Rattus norvegicus: one gene and its partners. The protein of the gene in region 1 interacts with the protein of each later gene in a biochemical or structural test. Links are inferred from orthologs where the notes say so. Each region holds a gene or a part of one and is shown on either strand. Other genes may lie near its edges.

What was found.
Region 2: of the proteins of Uba1 (region 1) and Ube2b, one has a biochemical effect on the other in vitro, tested with the Homo sapiens proteins (10 studies listed by BioGRID, with this or other methods). The link is inferred for Rattus norvegicus from reciprocal best matches to the Homo sapiens genes UBA1 and UBE2B.
Region 3: of the proteins of Uba1 (region 1) and Ube2e2, one has a biochemical effect on the other in vitro, tested with the Homo sapiens proteins (4 studies listed by BioGRID, with this or other methods). The link is inferred for Rattus norvegicus from reciprocal best matches to the Homo sapiens genes UBA1 and UBE2E2.

What each region holds. Positions count from the first base shown.
Region 1 is NC_086039.1:4,067,190-4,070,847, forward strand, and holds part of Uba1 (ubiquitin-like modifier-activating enzyme 1), read right to left. Parts: intron 2,144-3,658; coding exon 1,978-2,143; intron 1,740-1,977; coding exon 1,543-1,739; intron 1-1,542. UniProt on the Homo sapiens protein: Catalyzes the first step in ubiquitin conjugation to mark cellular proteins for degradation through the ubiquitin-proteasome system.
Region 2 is NC_086028.1:36,748,763-36,751,460, reverse strand, and holds the end of Ube2b (ubiquitin-conjugating enzyme E2 B), read left to right. Parts: intron 1-431; coding exon 432-560; 3' UTR 561-2,096; downstream 2,097-2,698. UniProt on the Homo sapiens protein: E2 ubiquitin-conjugating enzyme that accepts ubiquitin from the ubiquitin-activating enzyme E1 and transfers it to a E3 ubiquitin-protein ligase. In vitro catalyzes 'Lys-11'-, as well as 'Lys-48'- and 'Lys-63'-linked polyubiquitination.
Region 3 is NC_086033.1:9,627,978-9,631,635, forward strand, and holds part of Ube2e2 (ubiquitin-conjugating enzyme E2 E2), read left to right. Parts: intron 1-3,292; coding exon 3,293-3,425; intron 3,426-3,658.

The DNA of each region.
Region 1 (3,658 bases):
AGTTCAAGGTTACACATGCCCCAGTGAGACTGGTGGGCACACAAAATTGACACAGGTACTTTGGACTAGCAGGATCAGAAGGGGGCATGTGATAGATAGGATTGGTCTTTTTCCACCCCTCTATTCCTACTATTCATCCTGAACGTGTTGGACTCCAGCACTAAACTTAAGAATTCTTCTGAGAGGGGTTGGGGATTTAGCTCAGTGGTACAGCGCTTGCCTAGGAAGCACAAGGCCCTGGGTTCAGTCCCCAGCTCTGAAAAAAAAGAACCAAAAAAAAAAAAAAAGAATTCTTCTGAGAAAACTACTATCCTTGTGGCCTAGGTACTTATCACATAGATATGGTAAATTCATAACATTTTAGCTTCATGATATGCAGCACTGTTCCATGTGTATCATATATAGAATATCATTGTGACATGCTAGCATCAAATTTGTTTTGCAGGATAGATGGGGAAACCTAAATATCATGTGCTAGAGACAAATAACTAGGAGAGGGAAAGAACTATTTTGTTTAGCATGAAAATAGTGCTTTGGAGCCATGCACGGTAGCTAGCACATCCCAGTACTCCAGAAATGAACTCAGAAGGATCAGTTCAAGGTCAACCTCACCTACACAGCAAGTATTAAGTCTAAAAGTATGGAATAGGTTATTTTTTTACAAAGATTTTTATATATACATGCTATGTTTATAGGTGCCCACAGAGGTCAGAAAAAGGTATTGGATCCCCTGAAACTGCAATTATAGACAGTTGTGAGCTACCACATAGGTGTTAGAAAATGAACCTGAATCTTCCATAAGAATAGCAAGTGCTCTCTAACCACCAAACCATCTCTTCAGCCCCACTTTAAAAATTATGTGTATGGGTATTCTGCATGTATGTTAGTGCTTCACATGCATGAAGTACCCATGCAGGGCAATGGATCCCTTGGAGCTGGAGGGAACACCACTGTCGTTGTGAATGGCCATGTGGGTGCTCGGAATCTCAGGTCTTCTGGAAAAGCAGCCATTGCTCTTAACTGCTGAGCTACCTCTAAGTTGTTATGGATGGTTTTACTTATATCTAATGAGTAGAAGTCAAAAATCCACCTGCCTCTGCCACTTCAGTGCTGAGATTAAAGGTATATGCTAACCCTACCCAGCATGTCAATATAAGAAACATGGCAAAACACTGTTAAACTCAGATAAGGAATGATATTTCAGCATTCACCAATCTTTCCTTTGTTTTTATTTGTTTTTCTCAGATAAGGTCTTATTTTGTAGTCCAAGTGGCCTTGACCTCATAGCAATCCTCTTGCCTTAGCCTTTCAACTACTGATGAGCCAAGATATTTTTACCTCTCTACATAATTGGGAAAAAAACCCTCAAAAGTAGGAATCACAAGAAGAGTAAGTCTTTTCAGAAATGCTAAACTTTCCAGGTGGAAAGAAAGGTGCTAAAAGAAAACACATTTTATGCTTAGGCCTGTAAATAAATACCAGGAAGCCAAAGGCTTGGTAAACTCAGTCTGCCCTCTTTCCTTTCCCCTAAGCACCACTCACCTGTAGAGTGTGTTCGATGGCATTGGGAAAGTTTTTCAGGGTACAAATGGGGATGGATTTCTCTGGTGGGTCCTGGCTAGAGCTGTATGATTCTGTCAGGAAGGGGATCACCACCTGCACATTGCCCTTTGTGCCCAGTGTGCCAGACTCTAGCAGTGGCTTCCGATAGTACACACAGCGGCGATCCATGTACATCCCTGTATGATGGGGTTGGGGACAAGGATGTGAGAGTCTTGAGACAAGGAAAGGCATATTGGGAAAGAACAAGAAAACCCAAATTCGGGGCTGGGGATTTAGCTCAGTGGTAGAGCGCTTACCTAGGAAGCGCAAGACCCTGGGTTCGGTCCCCAGCTCCGGAAAAAAAGAACCAAAAAAAAAAAAAAAAAAAAACCCAAATTCTCACTCTTGCCTTCTTTACCAGCCTTCAGAACTTACGGGCATCTACATTGTCCAGTGCATTGGCCACACCATCCAAATTTTGGAAAAAATCATCATCATAGATGCGCTCCGTGTCAGGGCCTACACGGTTCTGGTGGCTTGTCACCTGGATGTAAGGATTCATCTGTCGCACAGCTGCAGCGGCCGTGTCAGACTTTAACTTCTGTGAAATGAGGAGATGCATTTGAGGGTAGAACGTGGATGTATTCACTCAACATCAAAGAGAACTGTCCCCCTGAGCATTCATCTAATGCTAGAAGAACCAGGCCCTGAGTTCAGGAGGCTCCCTGGCTTAGCAAAATATTCTAAATAATGCTACATGGCCAGGGCTGAAATGGAAAAGATGGTGACAATGAGATGGAAAAGAAAGCAGAAGACAGGACAGTATTGTGGACAATGGACTAGCCACCTGGTTTTTAGCCTACTGTTCTTTTAGAGAGTAGCACTGCAAGTTAGATTTCCCCAAACAGAATCAGATGGTTCAACAACAAATAAGTGTAAGTGTTATGAAAGCAAAGTCAGGTCATATCCCTCCTATGCTTAGAACCTTTCCCTGGCTCTTATCCCCACTTAGGGTAAAGTGAACTGCTGCCCAGGACTTCTCAGAGTGGAAATGATACCTTCCTTAAGGAGCAGAATGAAATCAGCAAACTACCCCACTCCCAAGGGCAACTTACTCCTTTACCCTTTGCCAAGTGCCAACATTGACCCTGTATGTTACTGTTATATTTTATCTATACGGTTTCTTCATTGTTTTGAGACAGGTTCTATCTATGTAGCTCTGTCATGGAAATTACTATGTAGACCAGATTGGCCTCAAACTCTGCCTGCCTCTGCCTCCTGGGTGTATCAATAATGTATCTGGGGCTGGAGAGAGGGCTCAGCGGTTAAGAGCACCCGGTTACTCTTCCAGAGGTCCTGAGTTCAATTCCCAGCAACCACATGGTGACTCACCATCTGTAAAGAGATCCGATGTCCTCTTCTGGTGTATCTGAAGACAGTTACAGTGTACTTATATATAATAAATGAATAAATCTTAAAAAAAATAATGTATCTGTCCTTATTTTTTACCTTCCTCGGTTAGAACCTTTTTTCGTTTTCATTTTTATTTTTTGAGACAGGGTTTCCTTGTAGACCTGGCTGTCCTTGAACTCAGATCTATTTGCCTCTCAAGCACTGAAAAGAAAGATATGAACCCTGTCTTGCCTTATTTTATTCTTTATTATAGCTCAAGGATCTAAAACCCTAACTCCTAAAGTTACTATTCAGTGAGTAACAAATACTGGCTTACAGAAAGCCTCATATGGTACCGCAGCTTCAAACTCAAGAGTCACTTGGCTGACTACAATGTCATCCTTCAGAGGCCTGTTTCTAAAAGTGGCCCTGGGCTGGAGTCTAGGAACTTAGATTTTAGGGAAAGTCCTCATCACTACCCCACCTAATACTAATGGCTCAGTGTGCTAGAACTGTTTGTGTGAACAGTGTAGTTTGTTTAAGCACCTTCTTTCCCTCTAGATTCAGGAATTCTGACACACAACCAAATCCCAGTAAATGTCCTAGTTACAGATGAACAGGCTTCTCTAGCTAGAAACTTTTCAGGAGAATTATTATATTTGTTACCGGGTAAATCCACCTTCTGCAACCCCACTGGGAGATAACTCTTAAAATACTTGCTGCT
Region 2 (2,698 bases), on another chromosome or scaffold:
GCACACACCTTTAATCCTAGCTATAGGAAAGCAGAGGCAGACGGATCTCTGTTTGAGGGCAGCCAGGGCTGCACAGAAAAAAACGTGTCTTAGAAAACTGAGAGATGGCGGGATACTAGCACTAAAAAATAAATGAAATGAAATGACTAAGGTGTTTAACAGGTGTTAAAGTTTAACGAGAGTTAGCTGCTCATTCCGTGGCAAGGAAGTTGTTATATGCTGATGAGTGTTGTCAGCTGATTTCCTTGAAATGGGAAGTCTTAAGGGAACTCGGAATTGTTTTGGAAGCTTATGCCCTTTAGCCACAGGAACCTGCTTCATGCCACTTCAGAAGGTTTTGCGATTCTGTTCTGTGTAATTTTTTTGTCCTCATCTGAGTCCTGTTAATATAGCATATAACTGAGCAGCATTTTCTTCTCTCTGTCTTCTAGTCTCTGTTGGATGAGCCGAATCCAAACAGTCCGGCCAATAGCCAAGCAGCACAGCTTTATCAGGAAAACAAACGGGAGTATGAGAAGAGGGTTTCGGCCATTGTTGAGCAGAGCTGGAATGACTCATAATAGACACCTGGTCTGTCCACCTTTCCATCGTCGTTGTGTATAATTTACCTCCCAGTAGGAAGGCTAGCAAGTTTTAAGTGCCACGGGTTTTAAGGATTCTGCAGAGAAAAAAGAAAAAGTCCTTCAGTTTAGAACCTACAAAAGCTTGTGTATCTTGATTAATGTACTTTTTATTGCATGGTGTGAACTAAGTTATTGCTGCATAAATTTGTAATATATCCTGTTTGTATTTTTTTCCAAGTGTATAATGTTGGTGTGGAGTTTTCATGACAGAATATACACATTTTGTAAATCTGTACTTTTTTCAAATATTGAATGCCTTATTTTTGAATTCTTTAGATTTTTAAATTGGAGAAAAGCACTTAAAGTTTTTTATATATGAATATTACATGTAAAGCTGTTAAAATACATAACTTCAGTGCAAGAGACTTTGTCACTTATTTCCTTACCTGTGCAGGAGGGACTGCCAAGTCTCTGCTCTTCGCCAGGTGAGAGCCTCATTTCCAACTGCAGAAGGTCACTCTTCTGTTTTATCAAGAAAGTCTGCAAATTTGATTCTAAAACCTATTCTGATCTCCGGCTTTATTTTGAATGTACTTATGTTAGTTCAGTTGAGTAACTATAGACTTACTGGTCTGGTTCTGTCCAGCTCTGTATTTGGGCCACTTGTTAATGTGCGTTTCTCATGTAAACTGTACCTTTTGTGACTTCACAATTGGCACCTCGTCCTCGAGCAGAGCTGACTTACTCTGCTGCGTGGCAGCACCTCCACAGGCTTTTGATTAAGAAGAAAGTAAAACCATCACCATTCACCAAATGCCGTGCCGCGGTGTTAGCAGTGGCCAGGTGCGCTGGTTTGAGCAAGGCAGAGGTTTGGAAGGAATCTCGGTGTAACTTGAATATTTGCAAACTACCTTTTAATGCGGCTGCGCGCTACCTGTTTATTCCGGAACTGTTGAGCACCAGGGCCTGCCGAGTTGCTTCTCACCTCCTCAGTTGTATTCAAGTTGTACTGCCTCTTAGTTTACTGGGTAGACTTAAAACACAGTATTGTAGAAAGCTAAGACGAAGCTATCCTATGCCTTCAAGTAGTATAGAAAATGGAAAATATACAAGTAAATTCTGTTGAACCTCTTGTGTAGTCTCTGTAGTAGTTGAAACAGCTATTGCAGTGAGCCCGAGTTTCTTGTCATCCATACCACCCTCCTAGAGACATGCTCTGGTGGCCTCTCCGCTGGAACATTGGGTTGCAGAGTGACCATGTCTTCTGTTTACAAGCAAAGTTTAAACCTGGGATGGATAAGAACTGATACTTTCCTTTAGGAGTTGTTATCCCAAGGGGTTCATGAGTTACTGGTATGTGCTGTTTCTGCAAGACCCCAATCTCCGTTCCCAGTTCCCACTTCAGACAGTTCACAGTTGCTCATAACTCCAGCTCCCCGGGGATCCAAAGCTTCTCACTAAATCAGACACTGGCATTCACATAAACAGACACTACATAATTAAAATAAAAGTATTAATTTATTAAGCTTAGAATGGTGGCACCTAACCTGCTTATATCCTTGGGAAGTTGTGGGGATCGTGGTTCTAAGCCTGGTACACATAGTGAGTTCTAGGCCACTTGGGGGACATGGTGAGACATGTGATGCTTCTGCCATTTATTTAGCTCCACAGCTTCCTTCCGGGGACTTGGACAGTAAATAAGCGGTACCTGGGAGAGGGGCTCAGCTATTTCACTAAACAACATCCTGGGTGTGTCAGCACCATATTCATTCTTAGCTATTTTCCTCATCCATTTGACAACAAACATTTCAAGTACGTACTTGATAAACAGCTAAAAGAGTTGTCAGATGGTGGACCGGCTGTTAAGTTTTGCTACCTCTCTGGCCCATCTGACTTGGAGAAAGCCCTTAGAAACATTCTATTAGTCACTCCTGTTTTGTGTTCGGTAGCGGACCAGATCTAAATTTTTACCATGCAGAAGTATCCGTTTTTTGTTCTGGATACATTTGTACAGTGAGAAGCTAGAACTAAGCAAGGCATCGAGGTCGAGATAAATGCGCGGGATTTAGATGTATGTGCTTGAGATGCATTTTCTTGGTCAGCCTGGCAGAGAGCAGCCCACATGGCACCGTTCT
Region 3 (3,658 bases), on another chromosome or scaffold:
CTTGTTCCTCCCCCAACCCCCTTGATCACTAATTTAGAAAATGCCTTAGAGCTGGATGTCATTTTCCCAAGGGAGGCTCCTTTCTCTGTGGTAACTCCAACTTGTGTCAAATTAACACACAAAACCAGCCAGTACAGGAGCCTTGTGAGATTACCCCACCCACATGTGTGTGTCAGCTCATGTTGTCATTGTACAGCTCTTGTTTAGTCAACCATATTTTTCTTCATATTTAGTGGATGTGGCTTCCCTGTCTCATGTAGTAGACCCTACTAACAACAGGCATCCTGGGCCTCTTTCTATCCCCCTTTCTGTGGTGTTCCTGAGCCTTAAGTGTAGGGGTTGTGTTATGGGTGTATCAGTTGGATTGGGGCATCCAAAAATCAGTTGTTCTCTACCTTAGGACTAAATGTGGATGTCTGCAGTTGTCTCCAAATGCAGTTGTTCTCTATCTAGGACTAAATGTGGATGTCTGCAGTTGTCTCCAAATGCAGTTGTTCTCTACCTTAGGACTAAATGTGGATGTCTGCAGTTGTCTCCAAATGCAGTTGTTCTCTATCTAGGACTAAATGTGGATGTCTGCAGTTGTCTCCAAATGCAGTTGTTCTCTATCTAGGACTAAATGTGGATGTCTGCAGTTGTCTCCAAATGCAGTTGTTCTCTATCTAGGACTAAATGTGGATGTCTGCAGTTGTCTCCAAATGCAGTTGTTCTCTATCTAGGACTAAATGTGGATGTCTGCAGTTGTCTCCAAATGCAGTTGTTCTCTATCTAGGACTAAATGTGGATGTCTGCAGTTGTCTCCAAATGCAGTTGTTCTCTATCTAGGACTAAATGTGGATGTCTGCAGTTGTCTCCAAATGCAGTTGTTCTCTATCTTAGGACTAAATGAGGATGTCTGCAGTTGTCTCCAACTGCTACAAAAGGAAGCTTCAGTGGGAGAGATGAAAGCGACACTTACTTGTGGGCATCAGGATCGGTGTTTAGAATACAGCTGGGAACTGCACTGGTTAAGGAGGCTGCCGTTGTGGTAGCCATGGTCCGGGATCTCGGCAGCCATGGGTAGTTGGCTGGGTTTATGGTACCAGGCATGAACTCCCTACAACAGAGGCGGCCTTAAGTCTCTCTAAATGGCTGTTAATTAAGACATGTAAGTGCCACTATTGTACCCTTGGGGGGCATCTTGCCAATGCTGGTTATTGTTATAGTTCATAAACTTTACAGCTGGGAAGGACACTGGATCAGTTTTTAACACGCAGTAGATCACAGAACTGCTCGTTTTACATAGCATTCTATAGCCCTTTTAATATGCTTTTCCCATATTACATTTGTGTTTATTTTGTGTACATGGATGTGTACGTGTGTGTTTATATACATGTCCTAGTGTACATATGAAGGTCAGAGAACACATTGCAGGAGTGGGTTCTCTCCAGTGTATACTTCCTGGGAAACCAAATTCATGACATTAGGTATGACAGCAGGCAACTTTACCAACTGAGCCATCTCACCAGGCCACATACTCTGGGATCACATCCATTTAAGTCCTTATCTACTCTAGGATCACGTCCATTTAAGTCTTATCTACCTGAGATCACGTCCATTTAAGTCCTTATCTACCTGGGATCACGTCCATTTAAGTCCTTATCTACCTGGCTCATACCCACTAACCAGCCTCTTTTCCTACTCTGTTCCTACTCAAAGCCACTGTTTCACTCTCCCTCTGAGACCAGTGCTTTACTTAACACTGTGAGATCACACAGCACTTGTTGTTCTAGACCTGACTTTGCTGAGCTCAGCACCTTCCAGGTCCACCCAAGATGCTACAAAGCCCAGACTTTCCCTCCTTCCCGACTGAAGAGCGCTGTGCTCCAGCACATTTGAGCGTGTTTATCTGCAGTGTGTAGACGTCGGACTCACCGTGCACCACTCCATTTTGCTTGTTACGCATTTATATTTACCAGTTGAATTGTTATTTTCCCGATTTTGATGAAACTAAATATTTTAAATTTTATTTCTACCTTTTAGAAATGTCTGCTGGTGTCTTTCTGATGGATTATTAATCTTTTCCCTGTTGATTGATATGAATTTATGATTGGGCCCTAAGATTTGGTCAGCTTTCCATGGTCTAAATATCATTTCTCAGTTTATAGATACTGTAAAGGTTTTACTTTTGCATGGAAGAGAAGGGAAGGGATTCTGGAAGAAGAAAAGTGGAGGGAGAAAGGGCAGAAAGCCTTCTGTAACCTGTGAGGATAACTTTTTCCCTTCTACTTTGATTGCTTAGTGAGGCGAGTTACATTTAAAATGGTATCATTGTGTAGTCTTATCTTGGTTATGATCAATTTTGTTACAGTGACTTTTGAGTAAACTCTTTCCCAAGCATTCATGATGTTGTCCACTCTGTTAGGATATCATCATAGTTAATAACCTGATAAAACAAAAAGAACCCTGGGAAACCTCCAGTTATTTTGGGTTTCCCCTGCCCATGAGGAGCTTTAAAGATCAGAAACACTGAGCAAACCCTGTACCACTGAGCTAGGCCCCCAGTGCCAAGAGCTAAATTAAAGTCATACTGTGGCCCTGATGCTCACTGGGAAGAATTAGCACCATTCACACTCGGCTTTATTCTTCTTAGTGAATTTGCTGGAGACATGGGTGTATGTTGGCCATTCACAGTCATATGACCTGCCCAGCCATTAGCCTGTCATTGCCAACAAATGTGTAGTTAGTTAGTAGCTAAAATCTATTCCTCAAGAAATGTTTATTCTAGGGAGGAACAGAGAAGAAGTTATAAAATACAATCATAAAATAACATGTCTTATCTAGGATATGGGGTAGTAGGGGGAAGAGGTTCCAAATGGCTGGGTCTTCAGAATGGTGGCTGTTCCCTGGTGTCTGTCAGGGACAGTCTGTGCTCTCAGTGCTTAGAGGGTTTGGGCCAGCCACTTTGCATTACCCTTTCTCACTTGGAAATTCTCTGCTATTGACCCAGAGCTGTGTCACCCCTCTCAGGTCTTCACACATAATCCCACATTCAGGCAAGGCCAGTGTCCTCGGAGACGTCTTCCATAGCGTTTGGGTTGCGAGCAGGACCTTCGGATCTGCTGGATTACATAATACCAGCATGTTGTATTTATAGGATGATGATGTTGACAGGAACAATATGATAGATAAAATTAATGTGTTGACTTTATTATGTTTTATGAAATGGCTCAATTTATTATTACCATATATTTTTTTAATTCCAAACTTTATGTAATTTCTAAGCACATCTCATTTGTGTGTCTTATTTCAGTGCTGGACCCAAAGGAGACAACATTTATGAATGGAGGTCAACTATATTGGGACCCCCAGGATCTGTCTATGAAGGAGGGGTGTTCTTTCTTGACATTACCTTTTCACCAGACTATCCGTTTAAACCCCCTAAGGTCAGTATGATGCATTGCCCGTTTTTAACATTCTGTGTTGTGATATGTATATACTGAACATATGTATATATCTATATATATGCACATCTGCTCTGTTGGCGTAGGCTGCTTCCCCGTACCCACTGTGCTTAAAAGGAAACGAGACGTGAGAAACCGTACGTCGTTCCTCTATCTTAACTTTACATGGGTTTCATTGCTCTTTCTCATTATCTCTTTTCTGCATATACAAGTAA